Linked DNA regions of Rhinolophus ferrumequinum. The protein of the gene in region 1 purifies or fractionates together with the protein of each later gene. This does not show direct contact. Links are inferred from orthologs where the notes say so. Each region holds a gene or a part of one and is shown on either strand. Other genes may lie near its edges. The genes, in order: SNRPB2, SNRNP70, PHF5A and SF3B4.

What was found.
Region 2: the proteins of SNRPB2 (region 1) and SNRNP70 purify together in Homo sapiens (affinity purification with mass spectrometry; 5 studies listed by BioGRID and IntAct, counting the BioPlex papers as one, with this or other methods). This does not show direct contact. The link is inferred for Rhinolophus ferrumequinum from reciprocal best matches to the Homo sapiens genes SNRPB2 and SNRNP70.
Region 3: the proteins of SNRPB2 (region 1) and PHF5A purify together in Homo sapiens (affinity purification with mass spectrometry; 4 studies listed by BioGRID and IntAct, with this or other methods). This does not show direct contact. The link is inferred for Rhinolophus ferrumequinum from reciprocal best matches to the Homo sapiens genes SNRPB2 and PHF5A.
Region 4: the proteins of SNRPB2 (region 1) and SF3B4 purify together in Homo sapiens (affinity purification with mass spectrometry; 4 studies listed by BioGRID and IntAct, with this or other methods). This does not show direct contact. The link is inferred for Rhinolophus ferrumequinum from reciprocal best matches to the Homo sapiens genes SNRPB2 and SF3B4.

The regions. Positions count from the first base shown.
Region 1 is NC_046306.1:37,113,697-37,121,685, reverse strand, and holds the start of SNRPB2 (U2 small nuclear ribonucleoprotein B''), read right to left. Parts: upstream 3,006-7,989; 5' UTR 2,948-3,005; coding exon 2,875-2,947; intron 1,233-2,874; coding exon 1,143-1,232; intron 738-1,142; coding exon 565-737; intron 1-564. UniProt on the Homo sapiens protein: Involved in pre-mRNA splicing as component of the spliceosome. Associated with sn-RNP U2, where it contributes to the binding of stem loop IV of U2 snRNA.
Region 2 is NC_046298.1:44,386,464-44,394,418, reverse strand, and holds the start of SNRNP70 (U1 small nuclear ribonucleoprotein 70 kDa), read right to left. Parts: upstream 3,006-7,955; 5' UTR 2,759-3,005; intron 2,012-2,758; 5' UTR 2,002-2,011; coding exon 1,855-2,001; intron 452-1,854; coding exon 389-451; intron 283-388; coding exon 228-282; intron 1-227. UniProt on the Homo sapiens protein: Component of the spliceosomal U1 snRNP, which is essential for recognition of the pre-mRNA 5' splice-site and the subsequent assembly of the spliceosome. SNRNP70 binds to the loop I region of U1-snRNA.
Region 3 is NC_046293.1:6,514,254-6,522,096, forward strand, and holds the start of PHF5A (PHD finger-like domain-containing protein 5A), read left to right. Parts: upstream 1-4,843; 5' UTR 4,844-5,127; coding exon 5,128-5,278; intron 5,279-5,300; exon of another isoform or gene 5,301-5,348; coding exon of another isoform or gene 5,349-5,400; intron 5,401-5,801; coding exon 5,802-5,825; intron 5,826-6,332; coding exon 6,333-6,499; intron 6,500-7,843. Other genes in the region: ACO2 (aconitate hydratase, mitochondrial), read right to left, coding at 4,576-4,611.
Region 4 is NC_046305.1:50,392,842-50,400,666, forward strand, and holds the start of SF3B4 (splicing factor 3B subunit 4), read right to left. Parts: upstream 3,003-7,825; 5' UTR 2,689-3,002; coding exon 2,655-2,688; intron 2,220-2,654; coding exon 2,091-2,219; intron 1,824-2,090; coding exon 1,281-1,823; intron 980-1,280; coding exon 773-979; intron 1-772. Other genes in the region: MTMR11 (myotubularin-related protein 11), read right to left, coding at 4,317-4,463, 4,767-5,060, 5,477-5,659, 5,960-6,133, 6,426-6,592, 7,102-7,172, 7,383-7,449. UniProt on the Homo sapiens protein: Component of the 17S U2 SnRNP complex of the spliceosome, a large ribonucleoprotein complex that removes introns from transcribed pre-mRNAs.

The DNA.
Region 1 (7,989 bases):
AATCTTCTTCCAGCAGCTAAACGTGAATCTCACCATGTCCTCCTGAGTTTAAAACTTTCCATGTGTAACTATTTTATTTCCTTTCATTGTTATTCATTAATAAAGCCTCTCAAGTTAAATCTATGAATATTCCTTATAACATTGCTTTATCTAGACTGCATAGCTTCTGATATGTATATTACACAGTGGAATTTTCTGAAACTTCAGATTTCCTCTCTAACCCATGGCTTTTGTGGTGTTGTTTTGTAAGTTTACGAACAGAAGTTTCTTTTTAATCTTCTGACTTATTGTTAATTCCTAATTATTTTGAGATGAGAATATTGCCTATACTGCCATTCTTTTTTAAATATTCGATCTCAATGTTTTGTTTTTGCCCATTTGAACTGTCATAAATTAATGAGTGAATTATAAAATCTACTACTGTTCCTATAAAAATAGATAATTAAACCCAAATTCCCTTTAACTCATAACAGCAGAAAGCAATAGCCATAGATTTGTAAACATATACGTGAAACGATTATACCACTCATAGAGAGTAAAGCCAAAACAGTAAGATCAACCTACCATTGGTTTACCATAAAATGGAAATCCCTGCAACTGTCTCAGGGCATTCGTGGAAGAGCCCAGTTCTTTAAATATAACAAAGGCTTGTCCCCTCATCTTCATGGTCTTTAAAGCCACAATATCTACCACGTGGCCAAACTGAGAAAACAGGGCATACAGGGATCTCTTCAATTCTGTGCAAAAGTAGAAAGGAAACAAGTTATTTGTGAATGAAACAAAGACAAAATCCTTCATAAAATGACACTGCATTGAGTGGCCCCTGCCTCCACCATTCACTCTTTTATTTATACAAAGTTACAAAGTTTAATAACATCATACTATTCCCATTGGCTATCTAATTTTAAAAAGTTATTTGAAACCGTTGTATCTATGACTAAAAACATATTCAATACATTTTCAGCCCACATCTATTTGATTTTTAAAAAGCCTTAAAATTCTTACCCCAAAAGAGAAACCATTATTTCAGGCACTGAGAAAGATGACTGACTAAATGAGAAGTTTCGAAGTAGCACAATTTTTAAGACAGTAGAAATTAAACACACTTCGGTTGTTAACCAGTATATTTAAAAAGCACTTACCTTCTTTTTTAATTTTGTCATTCATATTGTTGATATAAATTGTATGATTTGGTCGGATATCCATGTTTTGGGTTAAACTGTTCAAACAGCCTAAAGAGACAGTAAATATTCTGTTATAAATAGGGAAGATTATTAACTTAAACTCTAGCGTGGCATTAGGATACAACACAAGGGTTTATTAACTTTGGTTCCCTTTCAATCCCAAGTGTCAGAGAATACCACTTTGGAAGTGTCTTTAAAACCTCACCAACACTTTGCTAGCCATCCTTTTTAAACCAAAAGAGAACAATTCTCAAGCTCAAAACCTGGTAGAGCACTACTACCTAGGCAGATTTCAATAACATTATTTTATTTAATACATTCATTTTTATACTTATCTTTCACTTACAACTGACAGTGTTTGTCTAACTACTTATAACTTTTCTAAGCAAATTATTAAAAATTAAGTAGATCTGAAGAAAAATGAAAAAGAAACTTAGCAAATCTACATCCAGTAAAAATCACTAAGTTAGAACATTAATGAAGTTTGCCAAGAACTACTTCATGGGTATACTTATAAAGCACTTTCATATCTATTACTTCATTAATACACACCATCACTAACTGTCCCAACTGCAAAGTTACCTCTAACCAGCTTGAGAGAATAGAGCGCAGAGAGAGCAGTACCGCATGATGGTTAAGAGCTCAGATTCTACTACCAGCCAGATCTGAATTCAAATCCTATCTATGCACCTAACTAGCTGCTCGACTGAGGGCAAGTTCCTTAATCTCTCAGGTTCACAGCTGTAAAATGTGGATGGTAACAGCCTTTACCCAGTAGAACTCAGAAGACTAAATGAGATAAAGATCTAGCACAGTTCTTGCATGGACAGCAAGCACTAAGTGTTGTTATTGAAGGTTAAGGGCCTTGTCTCAGGTCACATAGCTAATAAGCAGCAGGCCTGAGAACTCAGCTCTTGTCTTCCGGTCTCTTGCACTTTTCTTTCACATTCACCTCACGATTTCATTTTTTACATTGTTTTTGGTTGCAAATTCTGACCTTGATTTCCTTGGACGCCCCACATATTCCTTAACTTCACAACTACACCCATTGTATGTGAACTGCAAAGGATGACTGACAAGGGAAAAGTCTGTACTTGTACAGGTAATAGGTGAAAAAAAAGCAAGGCTTCCCAGAGACTTGCGACCCCCTAACCTGAAACCTGGAGGGAAAGGAAGTGATAGAGAGATCAAACTGAAGGCAGAGAACAGAGGGCAGACTCTTGCAATGTATCTCGTGCGAAGTTTGACGGTGGCCCGGGCTAGTGAGGGGGCAACGGAAGTCGCTGCCCAATGCAAATGGCAACTGAAAGCCCATACCGAGCTGTAAATTAGCATAAGCGAAGGAACTATTAAGATTATCTTTCACTCCGTACGCGGGAGTCTCCCATCTCTCCAGACACAGGCACATTCGCCCAAAGCCCCAGCCCGAAGCCCAAGAAAGCAGCCACGGATCCCAGCACCGACCCATCTCAGTAAAGAGGCTCGTAAGTTAGGGGGCCCGGCCGGACCAACGCGGCAGTCTCTATTGCTCCCTCGCACATTAGCTAAGCCTTCCGCGAACCCTGGGCCGGACGCGCACGGTTCCCCCCATCCCGCCTCGTCCACTCCCTGCTCCCACAGGGGAGCGCTGGGCCCGCGGCCACCTGCAAGGGAGAACCGAACCAGCAAGGGAGAACGCGCTCACACTCACCTGAGGCCGGCGCCGTGGCCACTAAGAACACAAAGCCGGAAACGTAGCCAGAAGCCGGAAGTAACCCTACCATGCGCCTCAATCGAGCGCCGATAAATCGAGAAGCGGAATGAATCGATGACCCGCGGCCACAACCGGGAATCTCTGCGCATGCGCATATCTGGTGGGCGGGGAGAAGAGGTGGGAGGATGGACTGGGGGAAGGGGAGGGGTCTTGTGGGAACTGTGGAATGGAACCAATGCTGGGACTGTGGAGTGAAGGGATAGGGGAGGGCATTGATTTATTTACACTACCACGACTTTGAGCGGTTTTACCCCACACAAAAGTGCATTCCATCTTTCCAAATCTTACATAGTTTTACAGGCTCAGCCCCTCCATACTCACTACTAGGGCAGGTGCCCCGGTTTCGCCCTTCTCTGGGCTCTGGCTGCCCCCGGTTTAACATCATATTCAGGGCAGCCCGTACCCGTAACAAGTCTCCTTTGATTCCTGGGACTCCAGGGAAACTCTCTAACACTCTACTGATGAGCTTGAATCCCAGAGGCAGCTCAGTTTGAGGCCCCAAAGCGGAAGGAGGGTACTTGAGTGAACAAAACTGACAAAAATCCCCACCCTCAAGAAGCTTACATTATTTTCAAGATGTTGCAACTTTACGTGATCTTTTAAAATAAAAATCCCGATCTTATAAGACCACCTATTTGGCCCCTTCATCCATATGTCCAAGTCATAGTCAGCATTTAGAAATAACATTTATAAGTTATTTATTTTGATATCTCTGTAAGGCTCTCTGTGGGGACAGAGCCCCAGAAAGCAGTTTCCAGGCTCTCAGCCTCACATAGAAAGGTGCTGGCTCAGGTAGTAGTAGATAGCCATCAGCTGTGGCTGGTTGGCCGTCAGCTGTAACCATTGAGCCATTGGCCACTAATATAACTGCCATGGCTACGGAGGGAAGTCGAGGAGAGAGGAGGAGAGAGGAGGAGACTGAAGGAGAGTGGAGGAGAGTGGAGGAGAGTCGGTTGGTTGGCTGCAAAGTGGACAGCAGGTCACACGTCGTGTAAACCCAGCCTCCAGTGAGACCATAGTGGTATGACTTCCCTACCTATGGCTCCGTGGGTGTTCCTTTTTGGCCTAACTATAACTATATCCTGCGTTTTTGTGTGGGGAGTGGGACCAGAGACCCCGCCGGACGCCCCGTACGACACTCTCTCTCCTCATAAGGCAACCACATTTGACTAATAAACAAACACCTATAAGATCATCGGCCTAAACTCCCTCAAAAAAACCCCATTAATTTCCTATCATTCTTCCCACCCTCTCACCTCCTCACAAAATGCCTAGATTGTTCTAGGGTAATACAAATTGTTGGTGTTTAGGCCAAGCTGAATGGGAATTCCAAAAAATACATGTATTCATACATCCATTCATCAAATGTATGTAAAGCATCATCTGAAATGGTTGTTATGACCCAAGGGGAATCCAATCTTGCATCTTCCCCTTAAGTAATCTCTCTGAGCCTCAATTTCCTCTTCTGTAAACTAGGGATCATAACACAGTATTTCCCAGAAAATAAGACCTAGCGGGACAATCAGCTCTAATGCATCTTTTGGAGCAAAACTTACTTATAGACCTGGTATTATATTATATTATATTATATTATATTATATTATATTATATTATATTGTATTATATTATATAAGACTATATCTTATAGTAAAATAAGACCGGGTTTTATATTAATTTTCGCTCCAAAAGACGCATTAGAGCTGATTGTCTGGCTAGGTCTTATTTTCGGGGAAACACGGTAGTACCTCCTTTTAGTGTTATTGTGAGGATTAAGTGAGCTAAGTGTAAAGTGATTAAACACAAAATAAATGGTTTATAAATGTTATTTCTAAGTGCTGCTTATGACTTGGACATATGAATGAAAGGGCCAAATAGGTTGGTCTTATAAGATGGGAATTTTTATTTTAAAAGATCACCTAAAGTTGCAACATCTTGAAAATAATGTAAGCTTCTTGAGGGTGGGGATTTTTGCCAGTTTTGTTCACTCAAGTACCCTCAGTAACTAGAAAAGTGGCTGATTATAAACATGTATTGAATGAATGAATGAAGCTTCATGGAAAAATTAGACAATAGTAAACTTATGAAGATGCACACAAGTGTAGGAAATAATGTTAAACAACCACAGAAAAGTATTATTTTATTATACAGATATGAAAATTAGAAGAAATGTCAATAGTTCTGTCTCAGTTAAGGAATTATGAAAAAATATGAAAAGAATATGCTTAGTACATTAAAGGAAACATAAACTAAATAAAATACAATTTCTGAATAACAAAGGACAAGCTACTCTGATCATTAATAATGGCGTCTGAACAATTAATTCTATTTAATGATAATGAAGATGGCTAAACTATTTTTCTGAAAAATAATCTATAACCTAACTGATTATGCAAGTCATTCTGGCCAAGAGTGTATCATAAATATTAAGAGAAGACAAGGTGGGACTTTGCAAAGACACTCTACCTGGAAAGAAAAAAATCATAGGAAACACAGAGATTTAAAAACAGACTACACACTGTGTTCTATTAACCACTGAAAAATGGCTACTATAAATTACACTGTAAGAAGAAAATCATGTAATGCCAACTCAGTGGCAACTTCTGTATGCTCTTCCCCAGGTTCTTCTAAACAGAGCCAGTGCATCTTCCCATCCTTGGGCAGTTGCTCTGGGCTTTCCAATGGCCTGCTAATGGTCCCCGATGATTTCCTGAATGATTTTGAGAAGGCAGTAATTGATAGCATGACTGGGAATGGAATAAAGGGGAGAGAGGAGCTCTTCTGGCCCTGTGAGAAGCTTTGGATGGCCTGGTTATATAACGATATTAAGAGTTTTATAACATCTAAACTTTGATCAGATTGATGTTAAAACAACCAGCATTCCTTTATAATCAAATTCACCTCTTGAGGGTCAAATCAGAAATTGTGTAAATGTTTCCAAAACTCATATGTTTTTAAAAAGAAGAGAAAAACAAATGAGTTTACTTGAAGTTCTGTCCATTCTATGATTCACTTTCCTGTGAAACAGTTTTTTTTCTTTCTCTCTTTCTTTCTTTCTTTCTTTCTTTCTTTCTTTCTTTCTTTCTTTCTTTCTTTCTTTCTTTCTTTTCTTCTTTCTTTCTTTCTTTCTTTCTTTCTTTCTTTCTTTCTTTCTTTCTTTCTTTCTTTCCTTCCTTCCTTCCTTCCTTCCTTCCTTCCTTCCTTCCTTCTTTCTTTTTTCTTTCTTTCTTCTTTTTTTTATTGAACCAAACCCAGAGGCAGCACTATATAATACTCTAGCCAAGCTACACGTATCTACTGATGATGAAACTTGCTTATTTTAGGGGTTGAAGAAAAATTACTACAAACAGTTGAGAATAAAACTGTGTCAAGACACCTAAATTACTATATAAGGATGATAACTAAGGTGGTTCTTAGTGACTCCGAATGCACACTTATTTTCCTACCTTATCTACACGTGTTTTATGTTTCTCATTAAAATATTTTCAGTATCTTTCTGTAGTAATGTTGAAAGGGGGCTATGTTTAAAGGAAAATGCATCATAAAACTGTGGTGGATAAATTTTGGCTTATTTATGTTAGATAGAACAACGGAAGGTACAATTTGTATGTTCTTTCTCTTTCCAGGTGGTGATTCCATTAAGAAATTTATGTAGAATGAAATTATTTTTGCAACAAACATTAAACAATTCTGGGCACTATTGTTGAGCACCAAATCAGGTTTGCCTTTTCCTAGCTGGTTTGGATTATGTTGGCTGAAACTTCCTAAAAAGCACCTTCCTTCAACAAATGGTGCTGGCAGAATTGGAAAGTCATGTGTAAAAGAATGACACTGGACTGCTATCAGTCACCATGTACCAAAATTAATTCAAAATGGATGTAAGACCTAAGCATAAGACCTGAAACAATAAACTGCATAGAAGAAAACATAGGTACTAAACTTATGGACCTTGGGTTCAAAGAGCATTTTATGAATTTGACTCCAAAGGCAAGGGAAGTAAAGGCTAAAATAAATGAATGGGACCATATCAAACTAAAAAGCTTCTGCACAGCAAAAGAAACCATCGACAAAATAAAGAGGCAACCAACTCAATAGGAGAAGATTTTTGCAAACAGTGCCTCCATTAATGGACTAATATCAATAATATACAAGGAACACATGCAACTCAACAACAACAAAAAAAAACAACCCAATTGAAAAATGGGCAGAGGACCTGAAGAGTTATTTCTCCAAAGAGGACATACAAATGGCAAATAGACGAATGAAAAAATGCTCAGCATCACTAATCATCAGAGAAATGCAAATAAAAACCACAATCAGATATCACCTCACCCCAGTTAGAATGGCTATCATCAAGACAAATAGTAACAAATGTTGGAGAGGCTGTGGAGAAAAAGGAACACTCATACACTGTCAGTGGGAATGCAGATTGGTGCAGCCGCTACAGAAGGCAGTGTGGAGGTTCCTCAAAAAATTACGAATAGAATTACCATATGTCCCAGCAATCCCTCTCCTGGGTATCTACCCCAAAATCTGAAAACATTTACACATAAGGACATGTGTGCTCCAATGTTCATTGCAGCTTTATTTACGGTGGCCAAGACATGGAAACAACCAAAATGTCCTTCGATAGATGAATGGATAAAAAAGTTGTGGTATATATACACAATGGAATACTATTCGGCGGTAAGAAAAGATGATATAGGAACATTTGTGATAACATGGATGGATCTTGAGAGTATGATGCTAAGCGAAATAAGTCAGACAGTAAAAGCAGAGAACCATATTATTTCACTGATATGTGGTATATAAACCAAAAACTACAAAAGAACAAGACAAACAAATGAGAAACAAAAACTCATAGACACAAACAATAGTTTAGTGGTTACCAGAGGGTAAGGGGTAGGGGGTGGTAGATGAGGGTAAAGAGGATCAAATATATGGTGATGGAAGGAGAACTGACTTTGGGTAGTGAACACACAATGGGATTTATAGATGATGTAATACAGATTGTACACCTGAAATCTATGTAACTTTACTAACAATTGTCACCCC
Region 2 (7,955 bases), on another chromosome or scaffold:
CTGCAGTACGTAGCCCAAGTACCACCGCTCTCCCTTCCTGCCAATCCTAACTCCGCACTCTCCAGCTTAAATGCCTAAACCAAACAGAGCTTGGCAAACGGTGAGGGCTAAAAAGTGAACTGACCACCCCACTTTCCGAAAATAGGGAGGGACCTGGGGTTGACTTGGGGGAGAGAAACACAAGAGGGTTTGAAGAAGAAATCTGAGAGAATGAGAGAGAGACTTACACATTTTTAACTCTGTCTCCACTTCCTGCTGTCGCCGCTCAATCTTTTCCCGCCTCTGTCAGGAGATAGACAATTCAATGCAGATGGAAGTGCCCTGATGTCAAGGAACGTTCTTGAGAAGTGGCAAAAAAGACAGGGCCAGGAGGCAAAATATTACATACCTTTCTCTCCATGCGTTCCTCCCGAGTTTCTGCTCGTGTGGGAGGAGGGGCATCTCGAGGGTCCTGGGAACAAGAGGAGAGATGACATGGAGGGAGTGACTGGGGAAATGGCAAGGGACACCTACCCATCCAGGAAATAAGCATCTCAGCCATGTACCACTCCCATACACACACAAATAAGCAAACAAACAAGGACAGTTCCCAGGCCAGTGGAGGCGGGGGAGTGGTGAAGACCAAAGCACGGTCCATGGACCAATGCTATCAGCAAACTGTCACTGGTCTGCGACAAAAGTAGTACAGAAATCGGTAGTAAGTAGTATTCGGAAACTTCTACAGCAATGTGATGAGAGTTTTTATACCTGTAAAACTTGATAAAAATTTTATCTTCTATTTTGTAGTCTTTGAAAATGCTAGAAAAATGAAAATAATTCCTTTGTGTTTATCAAGAGCACCAATCTGCAATAGATTTGTCCTTTATCACAGATCAAATTCAGGACTAGGCCTGAAGTGAAAGGAGCCAACAGTGCAGTGCTCAAAAGCAGACAACTGGACACCCTCTGAGGGCCAACGCAGTTCCTGAAGGTCACCAACCACTCATTAAATAGTAACTGGCACATGGCTCATATCACCGAAGGGTGTCACTAGCCTGTAGCCATTAAATTAGTGTAACTGGCTACTAACATTACCTAAGTGCTGGTTCACTGAGGATGGCAAATCCTACTAGAGAGCCAATCTTCTATTATCTATGAACTTCTGCTATGCGACTTTCTTCACCTCCAGCTGCCCATTCCCCCTCAATGCCAGAACTTCCTTCTTCCGACTTCTGGCTGTGTGCCAGCATTTCTCAGGTGTGCTCTGATGCACCTTAAGAGGTGGATGTTGTTATCCCCCGTTTACGAATAAAAAAAACTGAGGCCCAGGAACCTAAGTCGTGTAGTCATGTTTATCCAGAGGGAGCCGAGCTGAAGTTCGGCAGTCCTGTGGCCTTAAGCGCCCTATCACACAGTGCTAACCGTTCATGAATGTCACCAAATTAATATCAGAAACATAACAATAACATCAATATTTGCTGACAGCCAAGCCCCATAACATATATCTTGCAGTTAAATACCCATCATGAGAAAAATAATATTATCCCCTTGCTAAGAATGAAAAAATCAATGCACTAAGAGGATACACCACTTGCCCAAGGTCACACAGCTGATAAATGGTGTGTGCGAGCCAAGGGATCACCTAACTCCAGAGTCTGAATCCTCAACTGCTAGTTAACTGAATTTTCACAAAAACCCAACAAGGGATCTATTATCAACTCCATTTACGACAGACAAACTAAGGATCATAAAGAATAAATCACGTGCCTAAGTCACACAGCTAGAAAACCGCCAGATACTGGAATCCCAAATCCAGAACAGCCTCCCCAAGACCCCCAGAACGCAAACCACTCCAAGTCTGCTCAGTGAACTCACCTCAAACTCTCGGATGTAGGGTGCAATGCCACAGTAAGGTTGATTGTGGTGTTTTTCATGTGGCAGTTTCTCCAGGGGTGGCAGGTATGGGATGGGGTCACGGGGCGCAAAGAGGGCCAGAAGGTTGGGCGGCAGGAACTGAGTCATCTTGCCAAGTCTGAGAACAGAAGCGAACCAGCCTTATGTTAGGATGGGCTGGTAGAGATGAGCTCCTATAATCCCTTATTCCCAAGAAAAGAGGGAAATGGGGTAAAGTCTTCGTATTAAAATAGGTTCTGTAAGGGCACGGCGTAATCCTACGTCACTAGGAAAAAAAGTAAATGTGAATGAGAAAGCAAGTTCTTGGAAGAGGGCTGTGTGTGGGTGGGGCAAGTCCCGTAAGGGAAACAAAGACTGAAAAAGGTTTCTAGGTAGTCTCAGCGTCCTGAGCCAGGAACTGTGGAGCTGAGAGGTCCCCTGGGGGATTATAGGAAAAACAAGGATCCTGACAGCGGTCCAGAGCAGTAGCGGCTGGTGGTCCCATACCTTGGAGAACAAGGCGAGGATCGCAGGAGGTCTCTGATCAACGGGAGAGGGTCATAATTAGCAAACCCCTAAAGCCAAGGGCTTGTGGGTAATAGATCTTGCCCCCCCCAAAGGCGAAAGGAATTATGGGTAAGGGTCCAGGACTCAGCGGCGACAGGAAAAAGGCAACGCATCGCAAGGGCCTGTGGGTAAGGGACCACGGGAGCGCTATGGGAGGAGGGCCTAAATGCCCAAGGTTCTAGCTAGGTAACGGGGTACAAAAAGGTGCTGTGGCGGTAGCGCGGGAAGTGGGCCCGGTTGAGGGAAAGAGACCGGGGCCCACCGCGGGGACTTGTGGGTAGCAGCCCCGCACCCGGTAAGGCCACTCAGTCACACTCACCCGCCGCGCGGCGCCCTCCTCGACCTGACGACGGTCCGAGGGCTCGCGGCGGCTGCGGCGGCCCCTCAGCAGAAGGGACTCCTGCTCTGGCTTGGACTCCAGCGGCGTCCGCGCTCTCCTGCCTCCGCCGCCAGCTCAGCGCGCGCACCAGGCCGCTGCTCAGGAGCCCGCGCGGCCTCGGTTGGCGACAGGGGCAAAAGGTGGAACCAGCCTCAAATCCCTCCGCCGCGCGCACTGCGCACGCGCCGCGCGAGACAAGCCCCTGCCCACACTCACGGACCGGTCGCAGCTGTGGGCACTGCGCACGCGCGAGATCACTGCCCCGCCTTCCGGCACCTTAAATTCTTGCCGCGGCCGGCTGGAGCTCGCAGTACGCACGCGCGCTTTTCACCAAGCATTGCGCCTCGGCCTCGCGCTCTGTACTCCAACTGCCTGTGTCCGCGAGACTTTACTCGGTACCCCGCCCCTTTCCCCAAACACACTTCCCCGAGTCTTGTGCGCATGCGTGAATCGTTATGTACCGTGTGTACCCTTCCGCTGCCTGGCAAAAAGTCCGCATGTGACTAGTATGATTACTTAGATGCCTAACCCTTAAAATCAATAATTGCTCACCGAGCGCCTAATGTATGCTAGGCATTGTTTGAACTTCGGGAATATAGCACGTGGCTAAAGCAAAGCCTTGTCCTCTTGGAGCTTACATTGTACTGGGGGAGACAATAAAGGCATTTAAAAGAGTAAATATAATTTCGGATAATGGCCTGCACAATAAAGAAAAATAGGGCAGTGTAAGTGGATGGGCAATGAGAGCAGGGCTATTTTAGAGAGGTTGTTAATGGAAGGCCCTTCTGACGAGATGACATTTGAACAAAGGCCCTGTGGAAGGGAGACCTGGGCGGGACTAACAGCAAGTGCAAAGGCCCTGATTTAAGGACAACTGGCAGAAATCCCACTTTGTGGACCTTGAGATCAGAGAGCTGGCAGCTGTGTTATTTAGGGCCCTGTATACCTGCAAAGAGTTCAATATTGTATTTTAAGGTTTTTTTTGAATAGATTCAATTGCCTGTTTAATGATAATTACAGAAAATTATTACAAAATTTAAGTGACCAATTTCATGTTTCAAGAAACGAGTAATATAAGAGCACATTCTTTCAAAAATATTTTGACATATTTGCTTTATGTATGTATGTGGGAACTCTGCACTATTTTTTGGAGCTTTACTGTAATTCTAAAATTATTTCAAAATAAAATTTAAAGAAAATAAACAAAGCTAAATGCCTTAATAATGTATTTTTTTTCTGTACCATTTGAAAGGAAATTGCTGAGGCACTTCACCTCTAAATGCTTCAGTATATGTCTTCTAAGAATATGGCCAATTCTCCTACATAACCACAAAATTACTTTCACCCCTAAGAAAGTTTTCCCAACTGACCCAAGAATATTTTGTTTTGATCCAAACCAGGAGCCAGTCAAGGTTCACACATTGCATTAGTTGTCATATCTCCTTGTTTTAATATAGAATAGATCCACACACGCACACACACTTTTTTCCCCATTATGTTGGTTTTTCCCAGAGGTCAGACTAGTTTCCAGTTAAATGTCCCATAATCTAGATTTGTCTGATTGTTTCCTTCTATTGTTTAGTTTGTTGCACGCCCCCGGCTTTGCCTATACAACGGACATTGAGTCTGAAGGTTTGAATAGACTGAAGCATTTTTGGCAAGAACATTTTCCTGGTGCTACTTCAGAAGTCATATTGTATCAGATCTGGAGGTTCATAATGTCAAATGGTTCCCCTATTAGGATGCTGAGTTTGGTCACCTCGTCAAGGATATAACTGCCAGATCTCTCTTTATAAAGGTACATTTTCCCTTTGGTAATCTGAGCAGTGAAGCTTTGCAAATATTCTGTTCCCCAACCATCTCTCACCTCACGATTGTAGCAACCATTGCTGATCCTTGCCTGAATCAAGTATTACATGGGGGAGAGGACAGATTATCGTTGAAATGAAATAGGAAGTAACTAAAGCGTTTTGATCACGAGGACGTAATCTAATATATATATATATATTTAAAGATCACTTTAATGCATTTTTAAAAATGCAGCGAAGGAGCTCAAACAGAAACAGGGAGATAGTTACCATGTTTCCCCGAAAAAAAGACCTAGTTGGACAATCAGCTCTAATGCATCTCCTGGAGCAAAAATTAATATAAGACCTGGTTTTGTATTATATTATATAAGACCCGGTCTTATGTTATAGTAAAATAAGACCGGGTCTTATATTAATGTTTGCTCCAAAAGACTCATTAGAGCTGATTGTCCGGCTAGGTCTTATTTTTGGGGAAACATGGTAGGAGGCTACAATTTCCAGGGAAGAGATGGTGACTTGGACCGAGACAGTAGCAGTGAGGTGGAAAGAAGTGGTGGGATTCGGGATATATTGTGAAAGTAGAGCTCACTTATTCAGTTGCTGTAAGAGTGGGAGTAGAGTGTATAGAAAAGAGAGAAGTCAAAACTAACTCCTAGAGAAAATTAAGGAGACAATCAAATGCAATGTGGAATCCTGGATTAGATTCTGAACCAGAAAAAGAACATCCATGGGAGAGGTGAAATTCGTCAGGTCTACAGTATTATTGGTTAATAGTATTATATCAATTTTAATTTCCTGACAAATAATTGTACTTGGTCATGTAAGAAGTTGACATTGGTGGAAGCTGGGTGAAGGATATATGGGAGCTCTGTACTATTTTTGTAACATTTCTATAAGTCTGAAATCATTTCAGAGTAACAAGTTTAAAGAACAATTTTAAGGGCCGGCCCGGTGGCTCAGGTGGTTGAAGTGCCGGGCTCCTAATGCCGAGGTTGCCAGTTCAATTCCCACATGGGCCAGTGAGCTGCGCCCTCTACAGCTAAGATTGTGAACAAGGCTCTCCCTGGAGCTGGGCTGCTACAGGCTGCAGTGTGCTGCTGGCTACTGACTGCCTCCCGGTGGCGGGGGAGGGAAGCGCAAGGCTTGTAATACCAGCATGTGCCAGAGAGCTGTGTCCTATACAACTAGACTGAGAAACAACGGCTTGAACCAAGTGTGGTGGGGCGGGGCGGGGGGGCAGGAGAAGGGGGAAAAAATGAAGCTAATCTCCCCTTAATAATAGTCCTTAATAATAGACTCACTCCTACATTTGTAGACTGAGCAATTTGGTAATTGATAGTGCTATTTCTCTAGAGATGAGGGAAGGCATAGGGAAGAGTGGGGTTATGGAGGAGGAGTTGTGGGCTTAGACATGTCAGAGAGGCCCATTTGACACTCATATGCAGTTGTGGAGTTGAAAGTTGGGACATACGGTAATTACAGAAGAGTCGGGGGCTGGAAAACCCAGATTTGGGGGTTATTGGAATAAAGATAGTATTTGAAGCCATGCGATCAATGAGCTCACCTAGGAGATGAGAGAAGATAGAGAAGGGGAGAAGTCTGAGCACCGAGTCCCAAGGCCCTCCACCATTTAGAGTTTAGATAAAGCAGGAAGAACCAGCAAAAGAGACTGAGTGGGAGTGATCACGAATTTTGGAGGAAAACTGGGGTAGTGAGGGGTCCAGGAAGCCAAGAAGGAAAATGCTTCAAGGAGGCAGTGTTCAGTGTGTCCAATGCAAAAGGTAAGGACTGAAGTTTGGCAACCATAGGTGACCTTGACAAGACAATGGGAGGGAGGTGAAGGGAAGACCTCAAGTAGGGAAAATTCTTCAGAGAAGTTTTGCTACAAAGAGAGCAGAGAGAGGTGATAAGAGCAGGAGAGGGAAGTAGAGTCAAGGAGGTTTTTTTTTAAGATAGAAAAGATATTAAGATAAAAAGTCTTATGATACATTTGTCTGCTGATGGCAAAAAAAGTTACTTATACACCTATCATGGCCACTCTTAACTACTTACTTATCTTATTCATGAGACCTGGAAACTTATGTCCACACAAAAACATGTACAAGGATTTTTACATCAGCTTTATTCATAATCACCAAAAATGAAATGTAACTTAAATGTCCTTCATAGAGTGAATGGATAAACAGATGGGTGTGTATCCATGCCTTAGAATACAACCGAGAGTTAAGAAAGTTAAGAAAGAAAGACCTACTGATACCACAGGAATGAATCTTCATTTTATTAAGTGAAAGAAGCCAGATTCAAAGGCTATCTACTGCATGGTTTCATTTATTTGACATTCTGGAAAAAACAAAACTACAGGGACAGAGGGAGAGAAAACAGAGCAGTAAGTAGTTTCCATGAGCAGGAAACCGGGGGTGGGGCGGGGTGCAGAGGAGAGCGGTTGACTGACTACAAAGGGAAGGAGGAAACTCTAGGAAAGGGGTGGGACTTTTCTATATTTTGATTCGAGTGGCAGTTACATGTCTGTATACATTTGCCAAGACTCATAGAAATGTACACTATAAAGGGTAAATTTTATTGTATGTAAATTAAACCTTGATAAACTTGACTGAGCACAAAACATGGCTCCCCTAAATAGTCATTAATTACAAGGGGAAAAATACAAACTTTACAATGGAGAAACCCAGCAGACACTACCCTAACCAAGTGATCAAAGTGAACATTACCAATGATAAGACATATCAATATTGTGCCCCCTATATGATGTGATGAGAGGGGAATTTTGTGTCTGTGGCATGCTCCCCCACAGAAAAAACCAACACTATAATCTCAATCTAATCACAGTAAAACACAAAATGAGAGACAGTCTCCAAAATAACTGACCAGTATTCTTCAAAAGCGTTGAGGTGATTAAAGACAAGGAAAAAGTAAGAAACGATCAGATTGCAGGTGACTAAGGAGACATGACAACTAAATGCAACATGGTATCCTGGATTGGATCGTACAATGGAGAAAGGACATTAGTGGGAAAACGGAGGCAATCTGAAAGTCACTTAGTCAATAGTATTGTACCAGTGTCAATTTCTTAGTTTTAATGCAGGTGGTATGGCAATGTAAGATGCCAACATTAGGGGACATTGGGCGTAGGATATTCACAAATTGTGCTATCTTTGCAATTTTGTTTTACGTTTTTCCAGTTTTTAAACGAATTTCTGATGTACAAAACAATGCAATAGTTAGACATTTCACCCCTCACAAAGTGATAACCTCCCTCCCCCAATCTATTGCCCCTCTGACATCGTATGTATCTATTACAATTCCATTGA
Region 3 (7,843 bases), on another chromosome or scaffold:
TATTCATTCCTACCTCTTCTCCCAGCTCTCTTACAGCAGTACCCAAAAGGTTTTCCCGAATAACCGTCACATACCCGATATCCACGGAGACTATGGAAGGAACAAGCAATTTCCCCAGAGCCAGTCTTTTTTAAATGCATGAGCTGAGGGTAAATGCTGGGGCGATGAAGGCTGTCGGCCATCTCCAGGATTAGAGACAGACTAACATTCCCCAGGTGCCTACATGCTGGGCCAGATTTGCCCCAAGTACTTTATACACACAGTCCCATTTAATACAGCCACCCTGAGGCAGAAAATAATGTGCCCATTTTACAGACTAGGAAACTGAGGCTCTGGAATGTTAGTTATTTTGCCCAGGGCCACACAGCAAAGGTGGAATTCCAGACCTTGCTCCAAACCTGGTGCCTTTTCCTTTGGCCCAAGCTTTGCAGAAGGAACCCCCCCAAAAAAACAAACAAACAAACAAACAAACATTCTCCATGCCCTTTAGGACACCCAAAATAAAGAGCTTCTACAGGTTCATTAAGGGCCTATTCCTAAAATAACACCAGAAACTATTCACAAATTTTTATAATGCATTAGAGTCTAAAGAACTTTTCAAATATTCTTAGGCTTTCAGGACCCTTAATGGCAGGATACCTATTGATTGTCCCATTTTGCACGTGTATAACCTGAGGGCCACCAAGGGTAGAGGGCTTGCTTGAAGCCACACATTAAGTCTGTGGCAGAAGAAGTTTCCTGATATTCCATGTGCTGCTTTTTAAAATGCTGCAGCCTCCCTGCAGTCCCCACCTGCTTTATGCTGAGAGGTCCAGAGCCTTCAAAGCAGGGCATCAAAGAAAGCTGGAGCCAAAGAAGTGGGACTGCTCAAGCATCAACACTCATTTTAGACACTTTTCATGTGGCCCTCTTGAAGTCACCAGGTACCAGCATAAGGCCCAAGATAGAACAGGGCTCACTTCAGGCAAGATGCTCATACTCAATTGAGGCAGCCTGGGGCGAGACATGCAGCTTCCTCCCCTGTGAGATACAGGTCCTTGTTGAGAGTTGATAAAAAGATCAAGAATTTATAAACCAGCTTCAGCCCTCACCTAAGTTATACAAGTACTCAGCAAACACATGACTACTGAGTTCAAGTTCACCCATCCCTCAGTTGCTTCTGTCCCATGACCTAGGAGTCATGCTTAATTATTCCCTGTCCCTCACACTACACATCCAACCCGTCTGCCTCCAAAACATCGCCACTACCAGGACGCTAGTCCCAGACACCTTCACCACTCCCTGGTTAATTCCAACAGCCCCACTGGTCTCCCTGCCTCTTTTGTCCCTGGGATCCATCATCCATGCAGTAGCCTGAATGATTTTTCTCAACTATAAATCAGATCCTGTCACTCCACAGCTTAAAACCTTTATTACACTTGGAGTAAGACCCAATGTCCTTACCAGAGCCTACACCACCCTGCCTGCTACCTCTTGCTCAGACCTTTCTCTTCTCTCGACAGCTCAGCCACACTGGCCTCGTTTCTTATCCTCAGCTAAGCTCATACCTATCTCAGATGCTGCACATGCTATTCCTTCTACTTGAAGTCTCCCTCTCCCCAAAATGCTGAAGGGCTGCCTTATCACTGACATGTTGGCTCAAATGTCACCTCTTCTGAGAGGCCTTCCCCAACCACTCTGGTTTAAGCCATGCCACGTCCGAGCCTTACTCTCTCTACCAGACTATCCTATCTTATCTTCCTTACAGCATTTAGTAGCTACAATTCTCTTATTTGTCTACTTGCTTATTTTGTCTCCTCAGGACTACGATATAAGCTCTACTATTCTTGTTCTCTATTGCACTCCGTGTCTAGAACAGTGCTAGGCATACAGTAAGTTTTCAATCAACATTTTGGAAACAGTAGGTCCAAAAGGCGACGGTGTGCTCCCCTAGTCCTCAAAACGGTGATTCTACTCCCTATGCCCAAATTTGAGATTGGAAGTTTGTTTCGTCTTCCATTCAATCATTCATTCATTCACTCAATTCAAACCAAGAGTTGACCACAGGACACCTGAGAAGGTACCACAGTGAACATGCGACCAGAATGACCTGATTCATAATTCAAAAATGTGATACTTTATAGACGCACTTTTAACTTCTGTCAAATGTCAGACTTCTTTGTAGTTCCATCTCCGATTTACACACAAGAGGTTACACGGCTTCCCCAAGGTCACATAATGAAAACTCTGCACCCCGCTACCTCAAGACAAAGCCAAAGACCTAAGAAAAGTATTTGCAAGTGCCCAAACCCTTTTATTTACCATCCATAGTTATTTGCACAAAATAAAATATAAAACCCAGTATTACTTTTGCTCCAAAAGACGCATTAGAGCTGATTTCCAGCTAGATCTTATTTTCAGGGTAGTAATTGCCATCATTCTATTATCTGTCTTCCAGCCAAGGGCAGGAGAAAAATATTTTGACTGAGAAAGATCTCCAAGGCTCTCCATAGTAGAATACATTAGAATATAGTGGAAGCTCCATGAGAACAGGAATGTCTGCTTTACTTATCATTGTATCTGAGGCAAGCAGTGGGTGCTCAGTAAATATGGGGTGAATGAGGCAGGGAAAAAATTTTATGCATGACATGACAACTAAGGTAGTACCATCATATCTCAAATGGAGCTAAACAAAAGAGTTAAATTTACAAGGTTTTCAGGGGACAATGTTAGCTGGCCGTTCCTTAAGACAGCCTGGCTACTAAGAGGCAGTGTGGTATAATGCTGTTCCTTCATCTTAGCTAAATGAACAAACAAGGAGCCCTGAATTTTAATCGTGACCCTGCTCCTGGAAACCGCTCAGGCTCCCAAAGTCTTGCATTTTCTATCTGTAAAAGACGAAGCTGGACTACAAGATCATAAACAAATATATTCTACTTTCTCAGGACTTTATAACAATCATCATAACTATCTGAGTAGAAGCCAATCACCAAGAACTCAATAAACGTTTGTCAATGTAGGTGATCCCCAACTGAAAGATGAGGAAACTAAAATACAGAAGTAATTTGCTGAAGGTCACAGGGTCCAGATCTCTTTCTATACTGGACTAACATTCATGCTTTTCAAGATCCTTTTTCAGTTCAAAAATACTGTGATATTAGTCCTCTCATCCAAGTAATCATTTATCTTATCAAATAATCTTGCCTGACTTCACTACAAGGCACAGCAGGATCAGGAAGAAACTACAGTATTTCCACATTGTTAACCTGGAAAATCAAAAGATCTGAAGAAATAATTAGGACAAATTCTTTGTCTTTGTTCAGAATTGAGAGATGAGAAGTGTTTTAAGATAAATGATGATTTCACTTTAACCATAAGGTTTACACTTAAGCAGTGATAAAAAAAAAGATAACTTCTAGTAACAAATGTTTCCTGAGAGTACAGCAAATAACAACTTTCTAAATTCTATAACCAAAGTTGTGCCACTTGATTCAAAGTAGATTCACAAAGTTAAATGTAAACGGTTATCAAAGAATGACTACAAATGCTTGCTTTATTTTTATTAACAAATACATGCGTGACATTGAACCTTAAAGTATAACACCTTCCAAGGGTTGTCAAGTCAGACATGAAAAAGACATCTGGGAGTCACAGTCAATTTTCTAGATGGTTCATAACAGGAAAGTCAAGGTCAAACTGTGTGTCTCTTTACCCTCTGCACCTAGTAACTGAAAAGCAACTAAAGGTGAGCCCCAAATACTCCATTCTAGTACTCTCAGAAATACAAATGTTAGCTCAAGGATCATACTCTGGCTGAGCAAGTGCTGGGAGGACAGGCTGACAGGAACAAGGCAGGCAGAGGGACTAGAAGGAAGGCAGATGCTCAGGCCACTTGCGTGACAGCGGTTAACTTTCACCTACTTTATTAAATAAGAGTAATCATCTTAGATGATTATATGACTCAAAGTATGATAAGGAATTAAAAGTCTTTCAATCTTGTGCAAAGGTGAGAGCGAGACTACTGTTATTACTATTTACTACGTCTGGGGTCGGAAGACACCCCCACCCCCACTCCCTCAGTCTTGGCTATGTGTTCCGCAGGATCCTCAAAAGATTCAACAGGATTCTAGTTTCTTCTCCAGACTCCAGGCCTGGCAATTGTAGATGCACCTGGCTAGCAAGTCTCTGCTGCTGAGAAATGAAAAGCGAGGCCTTTAGGCGCTGGGCCCAGCGGGCTCAACCACGACCACACCCCCAGTCACCTTGTCCTCACCTTGAGGAACGGAAAGAAACCCTACGGGGAAGGGGAGTGCGGTCCTCAAATAGGAGAAAGAAGTGCCTCCACTCTTCACCCGGCCACTGCTGCTTGGACCCACGCTTCCCGCGGGGCGGAGACAGCCCTGGGAGAGCTGACTGAGCCGGGGACGCTTTGACCTCGGGCGCCGGAGGATCGGACACGGGCGCAGGGCCCACAGTCGGGACAGGTACACAAAGTCATCGCAGGTCGGGCCCGCCTCGCCGCGCCGCGCCCACAGCCGCAGGCACAGTAGGAGGTACCCCGCCCCCGTGAACCCAGAGGGCCCTGAGCTCGCTCACCTGCAGCCGGGTCACCAGGAGGCTGTAGGGCGCCATTTTGTGCACTGACAAAGATGAGGTCGCGTGAAAGTGACGTGACAAACAGCCTATTTAAAGCCCTCGGGGGGCGTGGTCTAAAGAGGCGTCACGGCAAAGGCGGGGCCTCCGCAGAGGCACTTGAGTCCCTCAAGCGCAGTGGGCGGAGCTCCCGTGTTAGGGACCGACCCGGAAGAGGAAAGAGAGCTGCATAAAAACACGGAATGATGACCTATATATCCTGGAAACAAGATTGCAATGTAGAAAGTTCTCGGATTTGTTATAATTGAAGCTCCATTAAGATACGTTGATAGTACTTTACATTTTTGATCAAAGAGATATCAATGTCAATGTATGGGAAATTTTTCTTAAAATTTGTTCATGTATTGTTTTGCTCCATTTTTCTGTGCATTTGGTGCAATAAACCTTTTGAATGTATCTTGAAGAAAAAACACGGATGATTTATCCCAATACAAGTTTCATCTTTACACTTTGGAATTTGTCTCTTCCATCCAAATCTGGGAAAGGCATTTTTATATGACTCTCACGCACCTGCCCGGACCTGACTCCCCAACAGAAACTCGTCTTTGGAACGCTAGGGTTTTGATCGCGCGAATTAGAGCAGGGCATGGTACAAAGATTGTGAACGCTGATGGAAGCCTAGAGGACCAATCACGGCGACAAGGAGGCAGGTACAATGGGGGTTAAAGGTCGGACGGAAGTTCCCGCAGCTTCCGGTGGCCGCTTGAGTGTGTGCTATGGCTAAACATCACCCAGACTTGATCTTTTGCCGCAAGCAGGCTGGTGTTGGTGAGACCGCTTCCATGCGCTCGGCTCCCTGGGTGGGGGTGGTCTTAGGAGCTGGGGAGTCCGAGGTTTCCATCTCTTTCTAGGGTCTTGCTTCGGAGGTGCCACGTTTCCCGCCTCACGGTCCGCAGTGTAGGCGCGCGCGGGTTTTGTGGCCTGTGATGAAAACTAGGCGGTGGCGCTCTTGCTGGGAGCCGAAGGCGGGCGACCGGGGTGGGGTCCGGAGAAAGTTTTATTGCCCAAGACCTGGGAGGGGCTTTAGGATGGTGTGGATTTGGGAAGTTTATGAGGGATGGATGGGTCAGGGCTCGCTGCAGTCCCTGCTCCGATCCACACCCCAAGCTCGAGGATGTTTTTCTCTCTTCATCAAACCTTTAATGCTAATTGTACTCTTTACTTTGCAGCCATCGGAAGACTGTGTGAAAAATGTGAGTCGAACACGCCCTCCAGAACACCCCACCCCGGCCTACTCACAGTTTCTGTGGAATCAGCAAATGGGCATTTGCTGTGGGGCCCCAGCGGGCCTTGAGTCATTGCGCCCGGAAGCATGTAAACACTGGATGCCAGGCTGCAACCAGAGGCCCCCTCCACTTCCCCACTCCAACTTGCACATTTTAGACAGCGTTTAGGTTTTGAGAAAATCTCTAGCTTTGGACACAAAGTAGCACGACCTGGTCTCCAACACAGTTTTTGCCAGTAATTGTGTAGACTTATCACCTACCCAGTGCTGTTCTAAGCCCTTTACATGTTAGTTGATTAATGTTTCCCATGTATTGTGGGGATGGACGCTAAGTAAGCCAAGTTTTGTGATGCCAAAGTAGAGTGCCCCAGAATCACTGTCAGGAGACTCGTGTGTTTCCCCATAGCAGGAGGAGGGCAAAGGACTTCAGGTACTGCTTGTAAGTGGGCATTACTCCATTCTCTTTTCCTCACAGGTGATGGCAAATGCGTGATCTGTGACTCCTACGTGCGGCCCTGCACCCTGGTGCGCATATGTGATGAGTGTAACTATGGCTCCTATCAGGGGCGCTGTGTGATCTGTGGAGGCCCCGGAGTCTCCGATGCATATTACTGTAAGGAGTGCACCATTCAGGAGAAGGATGTGAGTATGTTCTAAGCTTTCCGTTTGATCTTTCCTTTTATTTAAAAACACTCCGCTCTCCATGACAAACTCTTATGATCTGTGGAGATTAGTATGTTCAGCTAGTCATCTAGGTTATAATTTTTTCAAGTTCTTTGAGCCCAACTGGGTGTAGTCCAATAAAAGGCAGTTATTTTCCATCAAGGGCAAAACTGCAAGAGAAGCATTTTGTCAACACCAGCAATTTGGAAAGCCCTCTCTATTCCTTTGATGTCTCTCTTGATTTTTTTAATTCAGAAATAATGTCCTATATTTTGTAAATTCTAACACAGTGCATGGTGTGTGATAGCCACCAATTCTCTTTGCTGTCATTAAGGACTGTTTGGGTAGATGTGGTGACATTTGAATTTGGGGAAATTCAGGTTGATTTCAGCTAAAGAATGCCTTTGGTTTGATATTGTGGAATTGATTCTGTTGCATGACATTTGTGTCCCTTGACACTGTGTGGTAGCAGTGGCCAGTTATTCACTTCCTTGAGCTTGATAGAGAGGACTTATAGATCTATACTAAGGGCGAGTTTTACCATTTTTCCTTAGCAGACTTCTTGGGGGAAGTCTCATGAACCAGCTTGTTTTTTTCTTATGACACAATAAAAGAAAGTGTTATACAGTACGTAGGCTAGTGGAAAGTATCTGGTTACCTAATCTAGGATAAGGCAAAAGATACATAAATCTTAATATTCCCATGAGTAAAGAGTAGGTAGGTTATAGATGTTATCTCGCTTATTCTTTACAATAGTTGTGTTAAATAGGGATTATTAGCCCCATTTTACAGCCCCTCACCCAGCTAAAAAGTGGCAAGTTTAGTCAGACTGTCTGACTAAACCGAGTGGTGTCCCCATTACACCGAGTTGTCCTTCTGTAAATCTTTTTGGTAGGGTGTGTCCATGTTGAGGAGAAATAACCCAGCCACTTCAGCAGCCTGCATTTCGGTCCTGTCTAACCTCAGTAAGTGGGACTTAGCAAACCAGATAAAACTGTTTCTTACACTATTAAGTCTTCTGTTATTTAGGGAGATGAGAAGAGCCATCGATAAAAATACGAAAAACATAATTTCGGTTGGTGACTTGAACTTCCCTCATTACCTAAACTCTGATTTGCACTTACCTTTGCCTGTCAGATCATGTCCTGCTTGATTTGATCCGCCAGCTAGGTGACACTGCTTTAGAGGAGTGATCTTGGTTTATATTTGTGTCTCCTTTTCCCACTTCTTGGTGTAGTTCCTGGCATGTAGTAGGGTAAGCATGGGACACATTATTGGTGCTGACCTTATAAGTCATCCATAGACATTCCCCCTACAGACTGT
Region 4 (7,825 bases), on another chromosome or scaffold:
GGGCACTGGCAGTGAGGGCCGACGCCAGAAATATTAATAAGACTTGGTATCAAGAGTGGGATGACAGGGAATAGTCAAACACAGCCCCATATTTCTGAACTAAGCACTCGAAAACAAAGAATACTAGAGGAAGGCTAGGGTTGAAGGGGAGGGTGGAAAGTGGAGCTGTCGATTTCAACAGCAGGATTAAGAGTCTGGAATGTGAACAACCATGGAACAGAGATACAGATCTCGGAGGCATCAAAGTACAAGTAATGGAACTATGCAGAAAGGAGAACAAAACACAAAATCCTAGGTACACGCAGAGAAAAGGGAGCCTACTGAGGTGCCTAAAATTAAGGAGACAGATAAGAAGTGGATCCAGAAAAGCGAAAGAGATAAGATTTTCAAACAGGAACACATAGCCAGTTTCAAGTAAGACCATAGGTCAAACCTGATAAGGAGTGGAAGTGTCCCCTAGATTTAGCAATTAGGTAACTGCCGTGAGATGGAAGCCAGAGGAAAGAATGGAAGTAAAAGTTAAGGAAACAAAAAACAACAAGGATAGTTGTAAACTTTGGAAAAACAAGTAAGAAATAGAGACAAGGTGGTAGTTTTTAAAGAGAGTAAAGTATCTTGTGTTTGTTTTTATAAAAAAATGTCTTGTTTTTATAAAAAAATGTCTGAAAGACATTCTAGAACTATTATTGTTGAGAGACAAAGGACAGCAGCATAAGTGGTGACAGCTCCTCTTCCCAGCTCATCCCTTCCTTTTCCAGCAAAGAGTACTCACCTGGATGGGGTATCCCACCTGGTGGGAATGGGTGAGGGTGTGAGTGTCCGTGTCCAGGATGTCCAGCCCCTGGAGTTCCTGCTGCTGGGGGCCCATGTCCTCCAGCCCCAGGAGGCATCGGTGGTGGGGGCATGGCTGGGGGTATCCCAGGTGGAAGGGCTCCAGGAGGTGGCACTGGGGGTGGGAAGGAGCCAGGAGGAGGCATGCCTATGGAAGAAACAGAAGAACAGTTAATGAGAGTGAATGTCTTTCGAGAACCTGTTCCAATCTGGCCTCTCCAGGCAGGACGAGCTCCTCTCAGCTCTCCAAACTCAGAGGCAATGTCAGCCAACACAGAAAACTTCCGCCTCCTGGAGAAACTCAGCAACTTTCCTCCCCACCACAACCACTAGCCTTCAATCCCCTTCTCATCGCCTACCGACTCAATGTCCCTCTTTATCCGTTCTTTTCCTTCTTTCTGCCCCACCCCCAAACCCAAGACAAACATATTGTGAATCAAACGCTTTACCTGGTGGAGGAAGCCCAGACCCCAGTGATGATACCACAGGGTTGGGGGCAGAGGGTGGAGGGGGTGCATCTGCAAACAGCTGATGAGGGCGGTCGGCCTGGGAGAGTGGGTTTTGGGCTGCCAGAAGTCGTTCAGCTGCTGAGCCATGGCGCTCACCCTTGGAGTCCTTCTTGAAGGCATAGGACACCGTGATGGGGCGGTTACAGAGGTACTGCCCATTCATGGCCTCAATGGCCGCATCCGAAGCATCAAACGAAGCAAAATTAATAAAGGCATAACCTTTGGAGTTGCCTGTGTCAGGGTCCCGCATTATCTTGGGGGTTTGTAAGATGACCCCAAAGGCGCTGAAAGTATCATAAAGCAGCTTCTCATCGATCTCTGGGTCCAGGTTCCCAATGAAAATGTTGGCCCCCACATCCAGGTTTTTGTTGTGGGCTGATGCCTTGTTCACCCGGATTGGCTTCCCATAGAGTTTGATCATGTTCATGATCTTAATGGCATAGTCAGCATCTTCCTCACTCAAGAATTCCACGAAGCCGTAGCCTGGGAAAGTGGAAGACAGGAGGTTCACAACCGAAGTGACGTGCTTAAAAAAGGGCGTAACTCATCCATCTTTGAAAGCACAAAGAACAAAAAATAATAACCTCACTTCAATTAAGAATGGCTCCAGAAACAAACGAGAGCTAGGTCGGCTTAAGAGAAAGAAATGCTTAGTTACGTTGCTTATTCCAAGACAGCTGTGAATACTGCTGGGGTCCTCAGGAGCCGTCTGTCCTCAATAAATAAACGGACCTATTGGCCTGTACTCACCTTGGTGCTGACCAGTGACTCTATCCTTTGGCATGTGGGTGTTGACTACTGGTCCTGCCTGGAGAAACAGCTCCCACAGCAGCGGTTCGCTAACCTTCTCATCCAGGCCGCCCACGTACACAGTGGCATCTGGATGGTGCGAGCAGCAAGTTAGGGCAGAGATGCGTATGCCGTGCAAGGAGATGACGGGAACGTGAAGATGAAACCCAGGTGGGAGAATTGGTGGAGACGGTACAGGAGCAAAAAGGGAAAAAAAAAGAGAGAGTTTTAGATTAAGCCCCTACACCTCCCTCTTTCCAAGAACTAGGGAATCTTCTGAAGTCAAATTTTGAGTCCTGCTGCAAATTCTCCTTTTGATTTTCTTTTTGAGTGGGAAAGCACGCGATTCGACATACTAGAAAGCAGCACACCTACAGGCCGTAGCCGGCACCGGGCCACCCCGCCCCCAACAAGCAAAGTGGCTAGTCCCGCGGCCTCCTGGGTGGCGCAGTCTCCCGCCCGGGCGGAAACACTGCTGGCCCTACTCGGGACCCCCCAGACCGCCCCCCTGTCCCGTCCAGTCACCCTGGTTCCGCTCGGAGATCGGGCCGGCCGCCATGATGGAAGAGCTCCCGCCGTCTCCAAGCAGCGATCCCGCCCTCCGACCTCAGTCACTACTTCCACTTCCGGGGGCAAAAGCCGACGTGAGGCTGTGGGCGGGGCCGCGGCGTGGGGCGGGGCCGGAAGCGGTGGCGGCCATCTTAGGAGCCGCTAAGACTGGATGCGGCCCCGGGGACGGGCTGTTGTGCGCCTTGGTCTTTCTCCGAGTCTTCCGCTTGAGTTCTCAGGGCGAGGACGGCGGAACGGAAGCGCTCAGACCTCTTTCAAAGCAGTGCAAGACGTTGCAGGATCATACCGCTCCCGAAACGTCAACTTGAAAACTAAAAGAACAAAACTTTGTGTTTCATATATTTTTGTGCCAAATGATCGTCACTTGTTCCCCGGAGACGGGTGTGCTGAGGACTCACTCGGCTGCCTTAGGCGTGGAGGCAGCGCTCCACTCCCGCCCGCAGCCCCAGCCTAGGCTTGAAGTAGTAGTTCGTTTTCCCCGAAGGGAGGGGATTGCAGTTTATGTTGGAGCCGGAGTGATGCCTGAGGTGGCCTCGTGGTTAGGGTGGGGGGTGGGGGTGAGGGGAAGCTGAGGCTCTAAGTGACCAAAGCTGAGGCGTGGTTGACACTGAACCCAGAGGCTTCAACCTCTAGGACACACCCGGCCTCAGCAACCACGGCTCGGTGTGCGTTTGCCCCACGTCTGCCACTAAATGGGAGGCTTGGAGAAGAACCTTTTCCCCAAATTGCATGTGAATTCTGCAGAGCCTCACCTGACCCAACCCCTTATTTCCTTAATAATACGGTGGGTGCCATCTCTCTCCAGTCATACCCAGCCTCTCTGTACCCACCCCCGTCTTGCCTAGGCTCCTTTATTCAGACACGAAACAATGCCAGCAACATGTATAAATACTGCGCTTTAATGAATCCCTTAAATAGAAATGTCACTACAAAAATATACAATTGGAAAAGACAGGGTGTCTCCCATATCCACTCCATACCCACAGGAAGCTGTAAGGGAAGAAATAGAAATTGGAATTCAGGAAGCAGCAAGAAGAGGGGAGAATGAGGTCGGTAGGCCAACTTGTTGGGACCAAGGAACAGCATATCTCTGCTCTCACAAAGCTGGATATCCAAAAGGGATGGAATTGCCCTGAAAAAACAGGTGATCATATTCTGGATTGTTTTTGTTTCTAAATTCTTCAAATCACAAGACGCGATATACCGGGGGTGCCAAAAAAAATACACAAATGGGACACTTTGGTCAACGTTGCTCAAGCAGTAGTTTGCTGTACTCAGAAATGTCTGGACCATGATAGTAACCACTTTGAGTACCTCTTGTCATTGCAGAAGTCAAACACGACTTGTATTCATCTTTTGTTATCGGTATATATTGAGTATTACAATTTTAATAGTTCTTTCCTTTCTTAAAACGTGTATACATTTTTTTTGGCACCCTCTGTATATAATCCTGAGGAACCAAACATGATAGACCACCCATCTGTGATGGAAACAAGTCAGCAAGCTTGTTTAAGAGTTGGAGTGTGAAAGCTGAGGCAGCAAGACCAGATATAAAACAATCAAAGGATTAGACTGAACCCTCAGACCACCTTCTTCCCGGCCCATGAGAAAGCAATTTCAACGGGCTTGGGAGAGAATGGTACTTGGATGTCTTTTCTTGGAGTGATCCTCAGGAGATATTCTTGGTGTCCATTTCCTTAATAGCTCCTGAAGATGGGATAGCTCATCCTGGAGGCCAGAGATTGTGGGAGCTGAGAGGCCCGTCTGGGAAGGGGTGCAGACAAGCAGAGAGGAACGTTATTGAAGCTCCAGCTCTCTGCTTCTAAAATCTGTCTGCCACTTCTGGTGTCTTAATTCTCTTTCCCCCTCTAACTGTGCCCTAAGTTCCACCTGATCTGAGCCACAAGCACCTTCCCCCACCCACACTCCCAAACCTATCCACTTGGATACCAACGGGAATGGTATTTCACTTCCCAATCCCCCCAGCCCTTTGCTGTTCCAGATCCTGGAAACATCTGGTTCAGCAGTCAAACCCTTCACCTCCCAGGCCCTGTCTTCCTTCCTCACCTGGACCTCAGGCCTTCCCCTCAGGTAGCAGCGTCTCCAGAACCTGATCTGAGGTCCCAGATATCCAGGTAGCAGCAGCCCCGAGGGTAAAGGGCAAGCTCCCCAGTACGAGGGGAGCCCCCACTCCTGATCAGCCAGACTTTCAGAGGAGATAGCAGGTCGGGGGAGCCAACGAGAAGAGACTGCCAACATGGAGGGACTGTCGCGCCAAGGACAGAGTTGATTCATGGGGGTCAAGGCCCCTCTAGAGAAGAGCCACACAGAACTGGGGGGTCCAGTAACCATGAAGCTTGGCTAAAAGGAAAAGGGAAATCAACTGGAAGCCTAGGAACCAGATGACCCGTTTCCCCAAACAGTCAAGAGCTAGAATGTCCAGCTGCCTCCCACTCACACTGCACTGGCCTCTCGCTGAGAGCTTTTATCTTTCCTTCTCATTAGGTTTCAGCCTAGGCCTCAGGACTGATTAAAATTGATTTTAGGGAAATTTATAAAACGTGTGCAAGGGACAGAAGATGAGAACAAAAAGGATGCCCTCTGCTATTCTAGGATTTCTGTCTTCCTGGGGACAGTCAGGGACTGTGACAGCTATAGAAGAGGAGTGGGGAAGCTTTCCCTGGGGGACTCAGATACTGTCTCTTTCCACTTCTCCACATCAAGTAGGATGAGCCTGTGAGAAATTCAAGGGAGTTGAGGAAGTTTAGACACCTCACCTGCTGTCTAGGGAGCCAGGAATCTGGGCAGTATTCCGGGTCATAGCCAGGATTACGGAATTGTAGTATCTGTTCATGGCTGTATCGTAAATCCCAGTCCCAGACAGACAGCTGTGGGTTAATGGAGTCCCCAGCTGGGGGCTGGGAATACCCTGGGGTATAGACTTGTGTATAGGAGTTGAACTGGACAAAGGAAACAAGAAAAGGGATGGTTAAACAAAATATACATACATACATACATACATACATACATATACACATGTAATCCTCCTCCCAGGTCTAGAGAGAAGTTCTCAGACTCTCGTCTCTTACTCCAGGAATCAGACGTAGGGTGAAAGTCAAATGCTGAGAGTGAGCACCAACCTCCACCCTTTCCCACCCATGGACCTAACTTTTAATAAATCAAGACTAAACTTCAGAAATTACTTCTCAGTGTGTATGTGTGGCGGTGGGGGAGACAAGTAAAAACTGGAAGTCACTGACCTGTCCACTCTGCTTTCCACGTTCCCAGGGAGTGTCTCTCAAGAATGTAAGGGTGTCAGGAACCCTGACACTGTCATGAAGAGCAAGAAGGAAAAACTCAGAGAATTCAAACTCAGCTGGAAACTGCTGGAGGAGCTGCCAGACACAGTCCAGGAAGAGGAGAAACACGGGGGCCTGAGAAGAGGGAAATTAAGAGGATGGGATTGTGGTGACCTAAAGGGGGAGGATGACAAAATGATGGGGGACACGGAACAAGGGCCCCGAAGGAGATCAGAAAATGGAATCTGAATTGAGCATGTCATAGATGTGGTCCCTCACGCATCTGGGTCTCCCTTCAAGCTCAGTCTACCCTCAGGACCCTTCAGACCTTATTCACCTCCAATGGAGTATACTTTTCTGATCCCCTTACTTCTTTAGTAATACTGAATGCTGGCCCCCACCCAAAACCTTCCCAAGATGTTCTCACCTTTTCGCTCGCCCCAGTTCCCCCAAGTCGGGTCAGGAAGGGATGTCCAGCTGCCACCCACTCTCGCTGCACTAGTGATTGGAAGCCAAGCAGTGTTCGGGCTTCAGGGGCTGAAAGCAGCTGGACGAGTGAAGAGAGGAGGCCATTGAAATCACGATCACCGCGCTCTGGGTGATGAAGAGGGAGAAGGGACAAAGGAGGGGCCGAGAAACTAGGGCAGAAGAGAATGAGAAAAGGAAACAAAGCAAGAAGTGAGAGGCCAGAGGAGAAAGTTTGGGGTAGGTAGGATTGAGAGGGCACATAGAAGTGAAGAGAAAACAAAGACCTTGAATGATTCACTTTGTAGACGCCACCGGATAGAAATAACCAGCCTCACATGTAGGAGGCAGATTCTAAATCTCAAACCTACTTCCACATTCCTTCCCACACCAACCCCCATGCCATTCCACTGATGGAAGGATGGTAACTGAGGACGGAAACCCTGGTTAGGGACCACGGGCTGTAATGGGGAGACAGAGGTAGCACTGGAGGGTGAGTTAGAGTTCATGGTAGTTCCTAGCAAAGGGAGAGGCGGAGCTGTAATTAGAGACAATAGGTCTCCCTCCCTGAGCAGGATCCAGTCAGGTGGGTGAAGGACACAGTCAAGTAATGGAGTGAGGTGATCCAAGAAACTCACCTTGAAGTACTACAGAGCGAACCCTGGATGTCACTAAGACTGAGATGTCACTGGCCTTCCGAAGACAAGCCCTGGAGGGGCAGGTGAGGAAGAGGACGGAAGAATGATAAGCTTTGAGGAGAGTAATAGAGGCAGAGCCCAAAATCCTGCCCCTTGTAAGGGGCAGCATCACAGCGGTCTTCTCGGGAGACCAGGAGACTTCAGAGGCCATTAGGCGTCCACGTTAACAGAAGGTTGGGGAGGGTTGAATCATAAATCATGGCTAGAAAAAGAGGAAGTACCTGATGTAGTCCAACCACCGTGTCCCTTCCAGGGCTGAGAGCCACTTATCCTCAGCTACGGATGAATCTGATAGAGGGTAGAGAGGTCAGAAGGGCAGAGATCAGGAAAACGTGGGATTCGGGATTCAGGCTCTATAGCCTGAAGGGTTAAGAATAAGTTGAGTCGTGGTTGCCTAGGGCTGGGGACAGGAATGAGGAGTAACGACAATGGCCGTGAGGTTTCCAAGTTCAATTGTGGTGATATTTGTACAACATTGTAAATATAATAAAATTCATTGAGTTGAACACCTAAGATAGGTGACGTATGAATTTTATGGTATGTAAATTATATCTCAATAAAGCAGTTTCAAAACAAGAATATATGTTGGGGTCCGGAAAAACAGGAAATCAGTCTGTGGGATATGGGGGATTTGAGGAGAAAGCGAAGGATCAGGGGGCCGAAG